Neurospora crassa OR74A: one gene and its partner. The protein of the gene in region 1 binds, or shares a complex with, the protein of each later gene. Links are inferred from orthologs where the notes say so. Each region holds a gene or a part of one and is shown on either strand. Other genes may lie near its edges.

Region 1 (9,401 bases):
CTCGGCTGGTTCTTTGACAAGGCCGACGGTAGCATCACCCGCCAGGGTGATGTCATGTTCTGGTATGGCATTGAGAACGGCGATGAGATTGTCAAGCTCATGAAGGATTTCACCGAGAACGGCCGCGCCATGCTTGGTAACTCCAACCTCGAGTCTCGTCTTCGTCAGGCTGCCAGCAAGCCCGCTGCCCAGCAGGTTCGCGGCTACTCCACTCTTGCTCGCCGCCCTGCCCTTCCCAAGTTCAGCATCTCTAACCGCAGGGGCTACCTAACCCAGACCAACCCCAACCCCCCTGTCGGCAAGCAAAATGCCTCTATGGACCGTCCCGCTCGCGTTGCCCTCATCGGTGCTCGTGGTTACACGGGCCAGGAGCTGATCCGCCTCATCGACTCTCATCCCAACATGGAGCTTCACCATGTCTCCTCTCGTGAGCTTGCTGGCAAGAAACTCGAAGGCTACAACAAGCAGGAGGTTATCTATGAGAACCTCAGCCCTGAGGATGTCCGTGATATGGAGAAGCGTGGCGAGATTGACTGCTGGGTTATGGCTCTGCCCAACGGTGTCTGCAAGCCCTTCGTTGAGGCCGTCTGGGAGGGTCGCAAGGCTTCCGGCCACAAGAGCGTTATTATCGATCTTTCTGCTGATTACCGCTTTGACAACAAGTGGACCTACGGTCTCCCTGAGCTTGTCCAGCGCAGCAACATCATCCAGGCTACTCAGATTGCCAACCCCGGCTGCTACGCTACTGCCGCCCAGCTCGGTATTTCTCCCTTGGTTCCTCACCTCGGTGGTATGCCCCACGTCTTCGGTGTCTCTGGCTACTCTGGTGCTGGCACCAAGCCTTCTCCCAAGAACGATGTCGAGAATCTCACCAACAACATCATCCCCTACAGCTTGACTGGCCACATCCACGAGCGTGAGGTTAGCTCCCAGCTCGGTGCCGAGATTGCCTTCATGCCCCATGTCGCTGTCTGGTTCCGCGGTATCCACCACACCATCTCCATTCCCCTCAACAAGAGCATGACTTCCCGCGACATCCGTCAGCTGTACCAGGACCGCTATGCCGGCGAGAAGCTCGTCAAGGTTGTTGGCGAGGCTCCTTCCGTTAAGAACATTGGTGGTAAGCACGGTGTTGAAATTGGTGGTTTCGAGGTTGACAAGTCCGGCCGCCGCGTCGTCATCTGCGCTACCATTGACAACCTCCTCAAGGGTGCCGCTACCCAGTGCCTGCGTAAGTTTTCTATACTCTCCAGTCTCGCAGAGTGCCTCTGCTAACCACATTAACAGAGAACATGAACCTTGCCCTTGGCTACGCTGAGTACGAGGGTATTCCCACCATGTAAATGAGTAAACGTTGTTGGATCTGATGAGATCCAAAGTTGTCTGCCGTGCGTAACACTTGTCGCACATTTTCCACCGAAAGGTTTTTACAATCCAGCGAATTTTTGGGTCATGCTTGGTCAACGTTCTCCTTACATACAGTTTTTGTCTTTCACCTTGGTATATTGCGGTTCATACGGAGTTTAGCTGGGCATGTTGAAAACTGGATTTGATTCCTTTGCTTGTTTTTGCGCCCACATTGTTGTTATTTCCCCCCGGCTTATGATGAAAGGTATGGCTGGCCTGGCATCATTGTATATATTAAGCTGCTGGAAAACGAAAAAGCGAAGTTGATATATCATCCCTGGGATGGGAAGCTAGTCAGCATCTATTTCCTTGACGAGTCACTCGATGCCTGATGCTCTCTCCAACCGCAAAGACTGGACGGTTATCTGAACGACATTGTTCTAAGGTAGGTAACCAATTATAAGCTTTGCCTCGGTCTATTTTGATCCGCTGGCCTCCTTCCTTTTAGTCATCTCCCAGGTATCGCTGGACCGGTCAATCCATCTCGATATAGATACTATCAGCGGCCTCCGAGGTCTACCATGCAGTGGACTCCAAACGGACCATACGGAGCCCCCGAGCCCGAAGTAATCGCACACATCACACAGCCTCTTTCTTCCTTCAGCTCTCGTACTAGTTCTACAATTTTAACGACCGAATGAGGCCACTATCCTCCTGATGGCTCGGCGTTCAGTTTTCCGGGATAGACTATCGACAGAACAACGCTATCGGTTCGCTTCTGACCAAATGCACGACGCTCGAATGACGACAGTGAAGTATTCAATAGTCCCAGTCTGGACAGTACCTCGAATGGAATCGTGGCGTTCTAGATGGGGTTTCTTTCCAAAATCTTTCTACGCTTCAACATGATGGATTCCGGGGTCCAAAAGAGAGCTACGATAAGAGGCGTTCGCACATGCTGACCATTACCACATAAAGTATATGGGAAAACCATCCACTCCATTGGTATGTGGGCTCTGTAGATCAGACAAGGCTCGTATACACTTTATTTGGTCATTGACCAGGCGTACGCTTCTTGCTCTGGTCTCTTATTTCGAATCATCAATTCCCACATTCAAGCGACACACACACTTTCCTTCTTACAATACCCTCAGCGGTATTCTCGACCTTTGTGATCGAGTTCTGATCTCAAACACCAGTCGTACGAAGTCATATGTACAATCTTGCAAGGAAAAAACCAGACGTCTCCAGCCGTCAAACGGTTTCGTTTGTATGACAATTATATGGGGTAGTACTGAAGAAAGAAGCTGAGAAAAAGACTACATATTTCGGATCCGGCTTCCAGCCTCCACGTCTGACATATTTGACCAAACAAAAGTACCATTAAAACGAGCGGAAAATGGTAATTGTAATGGTATCAACGGCTTGTCACTGGACTAATGATTGGCCTAAAATATATATAAGGAAGGGGGAACCCCAGAGTGAAGTAAGAACTTTAATACATCACTCATCAAGATCTCTCCAAATATACTACGTTTTCATACGTACTGCATACCGTTCTATTTGCCTTTTAAAGCACTACGTACCTAGGTAACAGTGTCCTCTGACGCCTACCCAGCTACCTGTTCTTTGATCTCTTAAGGGAGGGTAAATTTGATCTTATAATTCATCTGTAAACACTACCATCATCGCCCCCATGTGATCTAGGAAGGAAATGTGGGAGGGCCTGAGAGGTGACGGCGTTATAGTCTTTGTGTGGGGCACAACGGATTCTCATTCACAGTTCGTCAGAATAGACACTTAATGCAGCTGGCGAGAACATGTTTTTGAACTTGATCCACAGAAAGACATCCAGCTGTTTTTGTTCCATGGCTAGTACCCATTTCTCATTCCTTCGACGCACATCCCACTTTCCTCCAAGAGAAGGAGTCAAAGGTAGAGGACCAAAAAGAGAAGGAACAAAAAAAGACAAAGACATACAACACCAGGTTATTCGCCGGTCGTCACCGATCCGACTACTAGTCTGGCGGTCACTGGCTTATCAATGGGAGATCAGACGGGATCCCGAGTTCTCCAAGTGCCTATGGTCGTATGTGTAAATGCTGTTGTTGCTGTTGCTGGAGAGTGGGTGTTTGAACTCCGTTCGTTCCTTATGTAGAGAGATACAAGATCTGGTAGGATGGTGTCTGGTGTTGATCAGGTCAGAGGGGGATAAACAGCAGACAGCAAGTATGATATCCTTTGGAGTTGTACATAAGGAATCGGTAGGTACGGACAGTCATTTAGCTTATGGACACAACGCCGTTACAGTTTACAAATATACCACTATCATCAATTCCCGTCTCTCACATGGAGAATTCTTAAAATACCCATCCAAAAGGATCTTTTCCTATAGGTGCAACACTGACTGACAGTAAGGATAACCACTACAGCAAACATTAACATTCCATCCCGTCCCATCAGGCCCCCGTACTTAGAAGTACCTACTTATGAACCTCCCGCTCCTTCCCAAGTTGATCCTCTAACAAACGAACATATAAGCTCCTTAGGTAATCAGCAACTACGATTGCCGCCACCGCTGGGTCAGCTAGCGCAACGGTCTACCGTTGTAAAAACTCAAACCTCCCTGGCCCCAAAATACTCACTCACCTGTTGGTTCGGGAACAATGATGTACATTCAAGTAACTCAAAAAGGCTCCACATCGTCAGGCCGCGTCCACTTGAAAGTTAATGACAAGTACAGAGAATAGATGGCAGGGACAGCGTTGAGCCGGTTAACAAATGTGTGCTGCTTAAGTGCGCGGTTGTTGGGCTTTCTTTTTAGGGTATAATTTCATATCCTCATCGAAGCTGAGGGAGCAGATGGGAAAAGAAGACAGAGGTCGCGGGGTTCAAATGGTGACATGGTCTTTTTTTTTTTTTTTTTTTTTTTTCTTCTTTTTCTTCTTGTTTTTGTCAATGTATATGTTTCAGTGAGTCCAGTTTTGAGACGCAGCATGAACGCCCGGCGAGTGTCCAAGTGTGGCAGGGTCATTGTGTCTTTTTCTTTTTTCCCGGATATATTATGATGACGCTGAGTGGCATGCACTTCTACCTTCTATGTATTCTTCGAACCCAAACTCCATACGCTCTCTATCCCAATAGCATCATGCCCGATTCAAAGACCTGGCTACCTTAAATGACTAATCCGTCTTTGGAGGCTTGGGCCTGGGAGCCTTGATAGAGAATAGCACGACATCGTACTCCTGGGATGTCTCCTCTTCCTCCTTCTCTGCCTCCTTCTGACCCTTATCACCATCCTTCGCCTCTTTATTATCCTTGTCTCTCGCTGGCTTCCTGACCTCATCTCCATCGGCGTCCAACGTAACAACGACGTCCTTTGTGTCCAAACTCCCGTCCTCGGTATAGCCCCACACATCCTTGAGTTCCCTGCGAATCAGACCGGTCAGCCAGACGGACCCGGTAACGCAAGGGACCAGGTACAACAGCGCGGGCTGTCCGTGGTTGAACACCTGGAGCATCGTCAAGGTGAAAACCATGCCCAAGGCATAACCTGCTACCGAAGCGTAAAAGTAGGGCTTGGGAAAAGCAGTTGCAGCTCCGACCGCGCCACATGCTGGGTTTGGCATCAGGTTGCCCAGCTTGGTGGTCCAGAAGCGGTTGCCCCATTGACCTTCTGATTCCACGAATGGTGCTTTGGTTCGTCGGAACTGCATTTCGTTCGTAGAACTAGCTGCTTGATCCGTAGATGAGGCCTGCTTGGAAGACGCATCAACTGGCTGATATTGGATTTGTCTCTTGTAAAACATGTACAAGTCGAAGCGAAGGGCGAGTGCCATGACCAAGCCAGGAACAACAATGTCTCCGAGTCCCAGCATGCTGAAGCCGGACGAACTCTTGAATACCAGCTTGATTGGGGCGTCAACCTTTTTAGCAACGGTGATCATGAACGGACTGTAGAAAATGGATTAGTAACTGGATAGCTGTCCTGGCTGAAAGATGGGTGGAAACATACGTGTAAAACACCATGACGATGTCATAGAAGAAGAGACCCCAAAGAACAGCGGTACCTATACCGAAAGACGTGGGCGAGAGCATGCCAAAAGCAGCGTAGCACATGGCAGCCCCAAGAATGTTGGAAAGGACATGCCACTGAACAAGGTGATATGCAGTAGTTATCGCGATTGAGACCAAGAATCCAAGTAGATGGTTGAACTTGATCTGCGACTTGAAAGAGCCGACGCCATGGGCAGCAAGGCGGACTGTCCACTTCTCCGTAAAGAGGTGCCGAATCTCCCAGGCAAGTCTGTTGATTCCAGGAGGCAGGCGAACCATGGAAAACACACCGGGGAAAGGCGACTTCTTGTCGGTGATCATGGCCTGGTTCGTCGTTGGGTCAACTAGTACCTGAGAGCGGCGTTTCGGATCGACGTAGTAGAGTCTGTTGCTGCGATCTGACCATACACTTGGGAAAATCAAGCTGGTGAGAATCTCTAAGGCGTCCCCGGACAGCTTGCCGAGGCCGGCAATGCCAGCGAAAGACATGTAACCTCGCAGTATCTTGTTCAACAGGTTGGGATCCTTAAGCCACTCTAGCAGATAGTAGAGCCCAATGAGAACTGCGCCGGCCAGAATGGGAAACATGATGGCATCAGAGGCAGTCAGTCCTTCCGTGAACTGCTCGTCTTCCTTTGACTTCTTCTTCTTCTCGTCCTTGTCTTCGGACTCTGGTGGGGCAGCGGAGGGAGGTCGGCGGAGGGAGCCATGAGCACCAAGCCATATTACAGCCAAGGCGCCGAAGATAACCTGAGCATCAAACCAAAGAACTTCTGGCCTAAGGAGCATCTCCCAATGAAAAGTGTATGGTGTGGCATCTGGAACCGGAGATGGAAGGATAGTACCTGTCGCGTTGACGGCCGAAGCTTCAGGAGAAGCCATGGTGATATCCTAGTCAACTCGCGATACTCATGCGTTTCTATTTGCCGTAATCTGTCGTTATGAATGAGATATGAACACCGAGTATCGAATGCTTTTTGTAGCAGTGAGAAAGATGAGATAATTCCGTCAACGTGGATAATGCCGTCAACGTGGGATGTTGGGTTGGTGTTGAGATAAAGCTGCGTGTCCAACCTGCCCTGGAAGGGAACAACGGAAGCGGCCTTGGGTTCCACAATTAGGTTCCAGGTTGTTGTCGGGTTGACTGTCACTGCAGAAGCAAGTTACAGGGCTGATCTGAGTATTTATAGCGGTTACACGCTGATTTTTCTGCAGGGACAGAGCCATCTCCGCTTGCTTGCCCCACTAATTTGCCACATCCGGGCCGCCCTCGAGGAATTGTTGGTGGAACAAAACAGTCTCGCCTTCCTTCCGGGCACTCACGGGCCGTTGAGGCTTTCGTCCAACACAAACGACCATTTAAGAGCAGCCACTGCTCACGTCTACTTGTACTGCCCATCGCATTCACTTGACAAAGAGGCGCAAACATCTAGACACGTTCCTAGGTATCCAGCTCATTCACAGATTGGAACACTGTAACAAACACTCATTTTTTACGTCATGGCATCCGATCCCATGTCAGTAAACAGTTCAGCAAGGGAGCCACCTGCGCCTCCGGGATCAGGGGCAGACGAGCCCAAGTATGGAGGATATACACGGTTCGAACTCGAACTGGAGGTAGGCTTCATACACATTATCATCCAGCGTGCGTGGTATTAACAGAACACTCAGTTTGTTCAAGCACTTGGCAACCCGCTGTACCTGAACCATCTTGCGTCCAGGAAGCTACTCAGCAATCCTGCTTTCATCGCCTACCTCGACTATCTCCAGTACTGGAGCCGCCCACCTTACCTCAAGTATATCACCTACCCTGGGCCTACCTTGAAGAACCTGGAGTTGCTGCAGCAGGAAAAGTTCAGGCAGGACATCATCAGCCCAGACCTGGTCGAGCGTCTCAGGCTAGAGGGCATGAAGGCCGGAATCGACTGGCATCGAGAGAGTTTTCCAAGCACGGCATAAGTTGCACGGGTAGAATGATGCCAGGGATGGAAACGAGTGGGAAGTAGCCTCTGGCAGGCCAGTACCGCACAAGTTGATTCTGATGAAGAATACCTCACATGCAACTACACAAAAACAAAAGAAAAACCCAACGCCAAGCAATGCCCCCAATACCATGTATTGATGATCCGACCAGACCTGTGCTGAACATGTCTTCTTCCTCTAGTTGTTGTCTCTCCACCTGTGCCCGCAAGTCATACACTACGAGACATGTTAGCTTCTTACTTTATCCCATCAGTCTGCAATCCCCTTCTTACCTTGTAGAACGTCGTCATCGGTTCATCAGCACTACGAATTTGAACCTGGAAGAAGGCTGCCTCGTTGCCATTGCAAGTTCCGCTGTCACACTGGACCTTGCCTTTTTGTGCATTGTCCCAAGCGCCTGGACCACCAAACACGTCTTCCTTCTCCTTGCGCGGGAAGTTCTTGCGGGAGTAGATGGGCTTGTCGATGGGGTGTTCGTAAGGACAGGTTCTGCACTCGAGCCTGTTGCCACCCGTGTCCGCTCGGGAGAGGATGAGGAGGTTGGCGCAGAATGGGCAAACTGTGGTGGGCGTTTAGTTCCGGTGTCCTAGCCTTTGTGGGTGGACTTGGACTTACAGACGATAGGCATGTTTGCTATTGATGAAGGGACTGGATTTGTTTGTTGTGTGTTATCGTCCGTTATGAATAGCAAGTGAGATGAGTCGAGCGGTTGCCAAAAGTCTTGTTGACGATCCTGATGAGAAGAGGCGTCGCCGTAAGCTGGTACCTTTTGTGAAAACAGCTGGCCAAGACCGGTGTTTATGTCTACCACTTGCTGGGCTTTAAGGTAGTGATATAAGTTGTTAGAGTGTAAATAGTCAGTGTAGGGGCGATGGCCTGAAAAAAAGTGTTATAGCTCGATGCGGTCCGTTAATTCTATAAACCTTAAATGTAGCGCTTGAATTTTCATTGGTCAGATCTGCATCATCAACTGTCCCACACTTGGTCAGCGGTGCCTGGACCCAACGGCCCTTTCTGTTGTGCCTGTGCTAAGGTAGGTACGTACCTACTCACTGACATGCAGCTGGGCCTCAGCGCATGCCATCTGAATGCCAGCGTCCTGATCGGGCCCCGCAAGGAGCCGACCATTCTGTAACACCAAGGGAAGACGACACTGCCACTGCCACCTCCTAACCAGCCCGTTAGGTAGAGGTACGGAATGCTTCCATCCCGTCCTTCATACAACCACCACCACCACCACGACTGGAGATATCTCATAGAATACAGTACACTGTACCCTACAAACAGTCGTTCGCCGCCCTCTTATTACCCCGAAGATCCCTCATTGAGCGTTACGCGATCCCGATCCTTTTATAGGAATCGACCGATTACCTGATTCGACAGCCTGGCCACTTCCATACCGTACATCCACTCTCCCCCGCCGACCCATTTCCACGATTCCCGCTCGTAATTAGCAATTCCAGGCCAATCTTACCTCTCTACTTTGGACAACTCTCGCCGTCATCCCTCTTCGCTTTCACCGTCGTTTTCGCTACTTGTGCTTCTTCCTACAACCAAGAAACATCACCCGCCGTTTCCGAGACAACCACAAGTGACCTACCAGTAACCATGGCCGGAAAGGACGAAGAACACGAGGTTCGTACCACACAAGCGTCCTCTACCCCCAACTAACACCCTCTCTCTTCTATCCCCCGTTTCACCCGCCCTACGCCCTCTCGCGCAAACAGCTATACTACAGACAACCCCAGCTAACCCTTCCTTCTTTCACCCCCCAAAATACAGGGTGCCTCCATCTCCGAGCAGCTCATTGAAGCTTGCCGGCGTAACAACACTGACCTCCTCTCGGAAATTCTCGCCGACAAATCCGACGAAGAAATCTCCTCCCTCTTGAACAACACGACCACCGTGATGGGCAACCACCTCTACCACGAAGCCGCGCTCCGTGGCAACTACGAGATAATCGACATGCTCCTCGACCAACCAGGCTTTGAATGCGATCCCGTCAACCGACTCGA
Region 2 (10,051 bases), on another chromosome or scaffold:
CACCACTTACCAAAAGCGGGTCAAGGATTTTTGCGGCCGAGACTGGAACAGCATCGAACCAAGCCTGGATGCCCACAAGAAGTTTGCGGTCAAGGATGCTCAAGAAGCTTGTTTCAAAGCTTCCTGGCTTATAAACATCCTGCATGAGGGTATTGGTGTTCCTCGAATTGGTGTCGAAGAACTTCCCGCTCCGGGCCTCAACGCCTCGAAGGGCGCCATCGAGACGGCCAAACAGAAGGGTTTCCTAGATCCGTTCCATCCGGTGGACAAGATCGATGGCATTGAAGTTAGCTGGACACTTGGCAAGATGGTTCTCTATGCAGCAGGCCAAGTACCTCCCAAGACAGGTGACGATCGATTTCCTGTCGGCTTTGGTACTAATATCCCTTCTGCCGGGGCAACCGAGCTACCACCTGATTTCCAGTACGCAGGTTCGACGTGGACACCACTCAGCGGCGGAGCCAGCCACAACGACTCGCCCTACCGTCCGGCCGTCAATGGGACTACAGACGATGGCAGTGACTGGGATTTGGAAGCCGAGAATCTCCTTGGCAAGACAAAGGCCAAGACCACTCACAGTCTTCTCATCGTTTTCTTCATCTTCCTCGCGCTGCTGTTCTTTTTCCGCAAGAAGGATAGGCGTATGCGGTTCTATGGCCGTGTCAACAACCTCTTCCATAAGCCCCGCCGTTCCGGCCTGTTCGGCAAGATGGCATCGTCCGGCCACAACAACGGCCCCCTCTCCAGCCTGACAAACAAGCTCTTCGGCCGTCGCTCCCTTTCTTCGGGCTCTTATGAGCGCGTTCTGGAGGAAGGCGAAGCCGCCGAGTTCGAGCTAAACGATTCCCACTTCCGCAACTCAGCATCTTCCTACTTTGACCACAACAACGACCTCAACGGCTTCTACTCTGATTCCAGCGACAGCAGCTCCAGCGGAGGGGGACGGTCTAAGCTTGGGATTACGTCGGGGCTGGCAACGCCCAAGCTGAACCTGGATGGCCGGTTTGCTGATCTCGGCTGCGGCAACGGACTAATGACGCCTGGCGGCTCGGCGCTCGATAGGGCGGGCTTAGTGGTCAGGACGGATAGTCGAGAGCGGCTGGGGTTGACGCCTACAACGACGACTATGAGTTTGCAGGGGAGGAGGAGCCGGGCTGGTAGTCCCACGAGGCTGAAAAGTCCTTTGATGTCGCCTTTGCAAGGTTAAGGCGTCGAGGCCCATGTGCCTCAAAGTTTTGTTACGAAAAGACAACCAGTCGCTTTGTGCTTGATTGAACGATTTGTCATGGGAAACGGCGTTGGCGGATGTTTTATGGGTTTTGCATTTCTACCTTTTACCTCTGTATATGGTACTTTCTTGATGATGGATAATTGTTCTTCTAGGAGGTTAGCGGCCATGTCGTCCAACGATTTTTGTATGATGACAACGATACGGGTGGTCTTCAAACCCATCTGAGCGACGGGCTTTCAGTATATTTCTATTCTTCATTCTTCTTCATTGCCAACAGCTAGCTAGTATGGCTTTATCACAGGATTTTGGAACAAGATACCTCATTTTCATTCGCAAAATTTTCCAGCGTCTCTCTGTGCCATCTTTGCTTGTCCTTTGTTCTAACTGGGTATATTTGCGTCCTGAACGATCTGACACATACACAAACATGGCGTTGACCTGACCTCATCATTAATATGACAATTTCATGGTCTTGCCATCTACAATTTCACCAATTTCACCAATTTCGACGAACCCCCCCTTTTGTCCCCGAAGCCCAAGACTAGGTACACATCCGCCAGGAGGAAAGAAGGCTTTCTTCCAACTATGCCCATCCGGGAGCCTCTCCCACGAATTCAGCCCTCGTCACATATGTATAGAACGCTTTCTTCTGAGTCACCATTCCTTTGTCCCCATATGCTTACTGATCATTGATCATCATCCCTTTCCAAAAACCCCGGGTCTGTCCTCACCTTACTCTCAAACTTCTTCCACCACTCCTCAAACGCCTTAAGCGGCACCACCTCCATCTGCCCCGGCGTGGACCCGGTATAGCTCGACAAGAAGTTGAAGGCATTCTTGATGATCCTCTGCGCCAGCACCAGCGTGCTCGGCTGCTGCCGCGCTGCCGAAACCGGCACCAACGCCCCTTCTGTCCCATTACCACTTGTTGTTGCTGCTGCTGCTGCTGCTCCTGGTGTTGTTGTCCCCGTCGCAGACATCCTACTGGCCACACTCTCCGCATCCTCAACCGAGACCCCAATCACCACATTCTCGTTCCCACCCCCTGTCCCTCCTGCACCAGGTCCAACCTTGAAGATAGCACTCTCCTTCCCCGGGCCGATCCCACCCAAAAACTTGAAGTTGGGCGCCGTCTGCCCTGGTGAGGGCGGAGTGACGAGGTAAATTGCTGCTGCGGTCCCCGGGGGGAGGACTACGCCAGGCAAAAGAAAGACGACGACGTGCCCGAAGGGCTTGGAGATGGCGGAACCGGGGGGAGAGTTCGGGTTGGTCGGTGGGATGGCGTACAGGAAGGAGGTGGGACTGGGAGCTTCGGTGGGGGAGATTATTACGGGCTGACCGGCGGGAATGAGGCCGAAGAGGGGTTGGGACATTTTTGTTGGATTTGTGGTTTGGTGATAATGTGGTGTGATAAGAGAATGGGTTTGGTGGCGGTGTTGATCGCCTGTTGCTGTTGGGCACTGCTCGGGTGTGGTTGATGATGATGAAATTGACAGAGCTCACGGCTGTCGGTATGGGGAGTTGATTCGGTGTCCCGTTCTGGTTGGAGCTTGTGCTGGTTTTTGCCTCTGATAGATATATCGAACGGATGAGATAGGATATCTATGGCTGAGGTCCTTCAAGATGTATAGTTGTGTTCGCAAGATCGTGGGGTGAGCTTCGGTTTTGGAAGACAAAAGACCACGAATTCGAACTCGCGGTCGTAGCGTGTGAAGCTGTTAATGTCAACTCTATGTAAACAAAGACCTGGACTCGGGGTGAATGACCGATTCCGTTTGTTGTTTCCTCGAAGATGCCGCTTTGTCCTCGAATCTCAGTTGTTTTCCGGACGTGGAGCGGCCGAAGCGTTTATAATGCCGTAATATGTGGGGTCAAACAATGAGCTGGCAGCAAGGTAGGTATTCTTTGCGCACAACCGTCACTGGCTATAGAGAGGGAAAGGGATTTCACGGTTTTCCTCATTGAAAAGAATAGCTGTCAATTATACTTGATAGTTTCCCCCGAAGAGTTGTCTGGTATATATTTGTTTCTACACTCTTATTGAAGCTGATGATGTGATGGCGAGATCTCAAGCTACTGTGGGTCTCCCGTCTCGGATGCTTCCTTGTGACGGCAGGGCAGCCGGGCAGTTCAGAAAATCACTGGGTCTTGGAACCAACATAGAGATGATTCTAGAGTCCTCGACTTGCAAAAATTTGAAGCTTCAGTAGATAGACCCTCCATTTCCACGATACAATCTCCATTCTGGGATCCAATGACATGGATGGAAAGGCCAAGTCCTTGTCTGTAACTTCCACTTTCAATGAGGATTGTTCGTTGCCCCATTGTGACCCCCTGTGGTAAACTGCTCTTTCCCCGCTACAAAGCGCCTCAACACGCGACAGGGGCTTTTTGGATTTCTATCCTTCCATAAGTTCTGTCCCGAGTCTCGTCATCTGAACTATCTGAAGGAAAGACGATATGAGATCAATTAATTCACTTGCGCTTGTAACCTCAAACACGAATTCGTTCCATTGATTCAAATATATTGAAAGTGAAGAATTGCCCTGTTGATGCTGTCTCCCTAATTTGAGATGCTTCATGTTCCTCCCCTCCCAATTCCCGACGGTCTTCAATTGCGCTCCCGAACGACAGGAGATTAGCGCACGCCAATATCTGCTTCCCCACGCTCTCTTCCCTTGACAACATCCTCTCACTTGTGCCTCTCAAGCTCAAGTCAACAAATCCAGACTTTCGGCTTCATTTGCATTACTCGATCCCGTGTGACCACGCCCTATTATCCAAGGTCTCGGGAACCCGTTGCCAAACCATGACTCCTCGGTTGTCCACCCTCGACTTGGTGGCTAAAGTCGATGCGTACGTATTTATTTGTTTATTTTTTTTCTGTGAAACCGAATCCTCTGTGTTCACGCCCAGGAACTTAGATGGAACTTCAGTGAACGGATCTAAGGCCTACCTGGATTCCGAACATGACCAGAACGAGCGCTTACATTATCTCTAAAAATCAAGCTTCCCTTACGCGGACCGGGATCCCGAGGCTTATGCCCAGATCATGAAGTCTTTCTACACGTTCGTCTGGGAAGACCAGCAGGGTCAGGTACCCATAGGCTACGTGAAGCTGGACGTTGTCGATGCACTCAACAAAGCCCCGGCAACTCTCAAAGGACAGTTAGGGTTGCACATCGATGTCTCTAATAGGACTGTAGTGCTCTTCCGTGATGCCCCGGACAAAACCTACGAGGAACGCACTCGGCTTGTCGGAAAGCTCACTGCGCTTTGGCGTGAACAAGAGGCATTTGCCATCCTCAAGAGCTGGCGAAACGAGCTGTGGCCAGTTTATGGTCGCAACAAGGAGCTCGTGTTCAGCATAGAGCGGGCAGCTATGGGCCTCTTTGGAACCACACGCTACGGCGTGCATATGAACGCCTTCATCAGACGTCAGGATGCCAGCAGCAAGTATGACTTGAGAATCTGGGTTCCCAAGCGGTCCGCGACCAAATCGACCTATCCGAGCATGTTGGACAACGCGGTAGCGGGTGGCTTGATGACCAACGAAGACCCCTTCGAATGCGTCATCCGTGAGGCGGACGAAGAGGCTTCACTGTCCGAGCATATCGTGAGGAACAACGCCAAAGAGGTCTGCACCATCACTTATATCTACATCACGGACGAGCGCGCGGGAGGCGAGGCGGGGTTGATCTACCCGGAATGCCAATGGATTTATGATCTAGAGCTACCTGCGGATGGAAGTGTCGTCCCCGAGCCAAAAGACGGCGAGGTCGAGAGCTTCAGCTTGTGCACAGTGGAGGAGATCCAGAAACAGCTCGCCCAGGGAATGTGGAAGCCGAACTGTGCCGTCGTCATGCTCGATTTCTTCGTTCGGCACGGCATTTACACGCCTGAAAACGAGCCGCATTACGACGCATTTCGTGACCGGGCTCATCGACACATCGCCTTTCCCGGTCCTCATCAGGCCTGAATCCATCGAGCACCTTCCGCAGGGCACTAGCTCTTCCAAAGGCAGATGGACAGCCCTTGGCTCGGTAGCGGCATAAATACAGGTACTTGCTTTCCGGGTATCGTTGATTCATTACTTTCCCCAGACCCCTTTTCCCTAGGATATGCCTTTTCTGGTCCACGCATAACCTTAAACGCCCGTTCGCCCTCCAAAGATCCAATGAATGTTGCTCGCGCCCTAGACTCTTGATCGGTCTGATGCTATTTAGCCGCTGGAAACATTTGCTTTTTTTCAATTTTTTATTCTCCGGAAATTTCAGCTCTCAAGCGTTCCTGTTGGCGAGGAGGTAGACGTAGTCGACACGCAGGGGCGTGAGCTTCTTGTAGGGACCATCGAGGGCCATCAGAAGACCACCGTAGGACATATACGCCTTGCTAAATTTCGCAACCGAACCAGTCAGCCACTCATTTTCCCCGAATTCCAAGGTCGAGATACTCCTGCCCAATTCCCAGGCAACAACTTACATGGTCTGGCCATCCTTTCCATCCTCAAACTTGTAGACCTTGCCATGGCAGACATACTCATAGCTGTCGGCCAGGGTCTGCTCAACGCTACCGAGCTTGGCAGCATCGCGCCAACCCCTCTCGTCGTCCTTGCTACCGTCGAGGGACAAGGAAGTAGCCAATGCAATTCTAAGGTACTCGCCGACCTTGACAGGGAAGAGCTCCTTGTTGACATCGAGCTGCATGCTGGTCTGGCCATCGACGGAGGTGCAGTACAGACGGTCGACGCGGTCGTACTTGGGATCGCTGATTCTCTCGACCTTGAACTCGTCCTCGAAGAGTTGGGCGTCGGACGTGAGGGCGGACATTGTGAATGCTGGTGTGGAATCGATGAAACAGTCGATGTTGGATATTGATTGCTCGGAAGGATACTAGTGTCAGATTTTGGTCGAGTATCAAACGCGTGTCGATAGGTGGGTAAAACGAATTGTCGCGAGCGGTAGTAATGATGGTGTTTGGGGAAACTTTTGGAGATGCGACTGAGCGATGGAGATGCCGCCATGCAGTTGCCGTCCCAAAAAATTCCAGCCTTGCGGCAATTGGACCAGGATGCCGGGGCAAGTAGTGGGGCAACCACCATTGAAAATCCCTGTCACGCCCGTCCAGTGTGTGACAAAAGTACAGCGGGGCTCTCAGGCACTCCAGTGACGTCCAAGCTTCCATGGAATTTCTTCCAGGGATCGAATCGACTATATTTGGACTTGAAGAATACATACCTCAACATCATCAAGTTTGGATTCGATACTCAAATAAGGACTGCAACTTGCCGACTGAACTATGTCCTTCGTCAAAAGAAACACCGTCCTATCCTCACCGAGAGCCGGACTCACGCCGTCCGCTCCCCAGCAGCAGCAACCCAAACAGGAAACGCAGCTTGCGCCGGGTCTTCGACCATCACCAACTGATGGCAGGTTGACCACTTCAACTGGCACTGCTTCCCTGGACCAACTTCTTGCAGGACACGGTGGACTCCCCTTAGGAACATGCTTACTGGTTGAGGAGCAAGGGACCACCGACTTCTCTGGAATTCTTCTACGGTACTATGCTGCCGAGGGTCTCGTCCAAGGGCATCAGGTTCACGCAGTAGCCTTTCCGCCAGAATGGAGGCATCAGCTTCCAGGGCTGGCTTCACCTGACAAGAAGTCAAAGAGTGCATCACCGGCGCCGGCACCCGAAGAGAAGATGAAGATTGCGTGGAGATATGAGTCCTTGGGTAACAACGCCAATGCAGGAGCTTCTGCTCGTGGGGATTCTGGAGCGCCTTTCTGTCACTCCTTTGATCTCAGCAAGAGGCTTGCCAGCTCCGAGTCCAAGGGTACTCTGAACCCGATTTCAGTTGGCGGTTCCCCGAGCTTAGACCGGAAAAGTGTTGGGACAGCTTCTCCTCTGAAGATGCTTCTCAAGCAATTGCGGGCCAAGTTGGAGAGCTCAGGATCAAACGCCATTCATAGACTGGTGGTGCCCAGTCTCCTCTCACCAACCCTCTATCCTCCTGGATGCGCCCAACCATCAGAGGTTCTACAGTTTCTACATGGGCTCCGGGCTCTCCTTCGACTGTACAGCACCCAGCTCACAGCAATCATTACCTTCCCGACGTCCTTATTCCCTCGCAGTTCAGGCCTGGTCCGGTGGATAGAAATTCTTTGTGACGGCGTCGTCGAGCTCATCCCCTTGCCTGCCAGGCTAGGTGCCGCGCCACCGCCGCCCTCAAGGTCGGATCCCAAGGCAAACGAGCAACCCCAGGGTATGTTCAAAGTATACACACTGCCTGTGTATCATGAGAAGGGTGGTGGAGGAGCAGAGTCGGGCCAATTCCGTGAGAACCTGTCATTCAGCTTGAGCGCATCCAAGGGCTTGGTGATCAAACCGTACAGTCTCCCGCCTATGCTCGAGGATGAGCAGGAGAAGCCCTCAGCTGCTCCAAAGAAGGATGGGCTTGATTTCTAAAGTCATCTTCCGCTTGGCAATTTAACGGCTTGTTTTTTTGCAAATAACCGACTTTTTTTGGCCCCCTTTTGGCAGTCTCATCATATGTTCAGGTGAGCTTCTTGATCATCATTGAAACTCCCGTCTCTTTACTTGCCCAGGTATTGGGCACGCTGTAAGTCCACTCGAGCCACTGAAACCATTGGTGGACGCCCGCCTGGAGCTACCTACGGGCGTACAGCAACACCTGGGGTGGAGCTCAAGGAAAATGTGTGGGGTCGTGGACTCACCGCCCAAATTTCCGCCGTTTTCTGCCACGGCGCGATAAAAGCCCACGCACCTCCGCCCAGAAGTTTCCCACTTTCTCTCCTCGTGTCGTCGTGTCCAACAACAGCATTTTTGGTAAGTCAAAACAGCTCTTTTTGCACACTTCCCAGTTGGTCATTTCATGATGAAACAACAAACGTATCAATCTGTCAATCCCCTGATTCATAGTGATGATAAATACGGCTGTCCAAGGCTTCTGATCCTTTGGCCAATCTATCTCTCCTGTTCACACACGACGCAAGCTCGGTTTAAGAACTGTTTCTAACCAAGAGAAAATTAGGCACTTCATTGTTTTCACACACTTACAATGTCATCAACCGAGGACGACAGACAAGTACGGATCTCCAAGATCGCTGGTCGGTACCTCGTCTTTGATATTGATGATGTGGCGTATATCCGTCGCCAGCATGGCATCTGCGCTGTTTTCACGGGCACCATGCCGCAGAATCCCACTCAGAATGTCTTCCTAGGATTGCCGCTCGAGCTGTATGCCGAGGATGCCAAGATGCTTTTGGACAGAAAGGTTGCCTACATTGCCGATGACCCTTTAGAACACTTGACCCAGTTGAAGTCAATGGATGACGAGACGCGCAAATCATACCTGCAGTCTATCAAGACGCAGCGCAGAACTGCCCAGCTTGTGTTCAATGAGGCCAAGGCACAGTCTATGGCTAAGCACAAGGACAAGCGCAAGCCGAAACAGCCACAGCCCTCTGTTGTCGTACCCACTGAACTGCCGCTGTCAGCATCATCTGCCGATGGCGTTGCGGCCGCCGTAGATCAGGAAGAAGAAGGAGGAGCAGAATTCCTCTTGGAGTCGTCATCATCCAAGCCACTCAAAACGGACGCGTCGACGCCTCCTCAGAAGCCGCTGGTCAAGGAGAAGCTACCTGCAATCACTCCAACCACCAGCAATGCCATGATTTCTAACGGGACAAGTAATCCTGATGTAGAAAACCACACTGCGCTACCATTGTATTCGTACTTGAACGAGAGAGGATACTTCATCACTCCAGGTCTGCGCTTCGGTGGTGACTTTAGCGTCTACCCCGGCGACCCCTTCCGCTATCATGCTCATTATATGGCGAACAGCTATGGGTGGGATGAGAAGATCCCCATGTTGGATCTCGTCACCAGTGGTCGTTTGGGAACGGCTGTCAAGAAGAGTTTCCTCATGGGAGGGCAGAAACCGGCGACAGAGGACAGTGAAGCTGGCGAGTTGAGGGCGTTCTGCATTGAGTGGGCGGGCATGTAGTTTCAGGCAGCTTGAGCATTTGACGGAAGAGATGATACCCATTACAACAAGCCTTCACGTTCTGTATTATCATCGGATCTAAGCCTGTTGAATGATGAATATATTGTTGCGTATATGTAGTCCGTCGAGATCCCATGGGAAATCCATGGGAACAATCCACACCAAGGCAGCCAAGATCAGACCAAGAACCATCAAAACACCCTTTCAATCGCTTCCCATTTGCCCCTGTACATGCCTCACAACGTGACACTAACCTCGATGGCCATTCATCATGCTATTTGACACGCAACTTCCATCTTATGATGCTTTCTTCTTTAAGACATGCCTCTCATTCCCTTCATCATTACCAACTAGACTAGGTGTGTAGTGTAAAGCCATTTAGAAATACGAAAAATACCTTCCTCTTCCCAATAAAGTCCATAGCCCAAAGTATCAAGGCACATAAATCCTGCTAAAACTAATAACCTCCCTCCGACAACACACGCACTTATCAAAATTATTCATGGCCAAACTCACCCTGCACTCATCGCAGAGACTCAGACACCGACACGGCCACACGATGATCGTTCTCGGCGCGCACTGACAGACCACGCACTGCGGTCCTTCACTGCCCAGTCCATCCGCGCCCGTTGCCCAGTCGCCTGCCGTTGCCGCTGCCGCCCCATTACTTCCACTTCCACTTCCGCTGCCCTCCTCCCCTGCCTCCGTGGGCGCAGCAGTCGCCCGCCTCGACAACAATATCTGTTCCAACCGTCTAGCCTCTTCCTCGGGCGTCATCATTTGTGTGCTTT

The links.
Region 2: NCU00570 (region 1) and NCU08030 share a complex: the UniProt entries of both Saccharomyces cerevisiae proteins name them as parts of the RNA polymerase III (Pol III) complex. The link is inferred for Neurospora crassa OR74A from reciprocal best matches to the Saccharomyces cerevisiae genes RPC11 and RPB8.

Annotation. Positions count from the first base shown.
Region 1 is NC_026501.1:7,970,263-7,979,663, reverse strand, and holds NCU00570 (DNA-directed RNA polymerase III polypeptide), read right to left. Parts: upstream 8,254-9,401; 5' UTR 8,015-8,253; coding exon 8,002-8,014; intron 7,946-8,001; coding exon 7,659-7,945; exon of another isoform or gene 7,603-7,658; coding exon 7,564-7,602; 3' UTR 7,383-7,563; downstream 1-7,382. Other genes in the region: Arg-6 protein, variant, read left to right, coding at 1-1,231, 1,288-1,343; NCU00568 (hypothetical protein), read right to left, coding at 4,530-5,301, 5,363-6,285; NCU00569 (SOH1 family protein), read left to right, coding at 6,904-7,020, 7,075-7,362; NCU00571 (hypothetical protein), read left to right, coding at 8,995-9,021, 9,169-9,401. UniProt on the Saccharomyces cerevisiae protein: DNA-dependent RNA polymerase catalyzes the transcription of DNA into RNA using the four ribonucleoside triphosphates as substrates. Component of RNA polymerase III which synthesizes small RNAs, such as 5S rRNA and tRNAs.
Region 2 is NC_026504.1:3,961,991-3,972,041, forward strand, and holds NCU08030 (UDP-glucose 4-epimerase Gal10), read right to left. Parts: upstream 6,222-10,051; 5' UTR 6,061-6,221; coding exon 5,714-6,060; exon of another isoform or gene 5,624-5,713; coding exon 5,512-5,623; 3' UTR 5,211-5,511; downstream 1-5,210. Other genes in the region: NCU08027 (nucleoside diphosphatase), read left to right, coding at 1-1,207; NCU08028 (hypothetical protein), read right to left, coding at 1,918-2,604; NCU08029 (thiamine pyrophosphokinase), read left to right, coding at 4,041-4,087, 4,241-5,210; NCU08031 (paxneb protein superfamily), read left to right, coding at 6,530-7,699; NCU08032 (tRNA-splicing endonuclease subunit sen34), read left to right, coding at 8,313-9,260; NCU08033 (hypothetical protein), read right to left, coding at 9,757-9,777, 9,849-10,051. UniProt on the Saccharomyces cerevisiae protein: DNA-dependent RNA polymerases catalyze the transcription. of DNA into RNA using the four ribonucleoside triphosphates as substrates.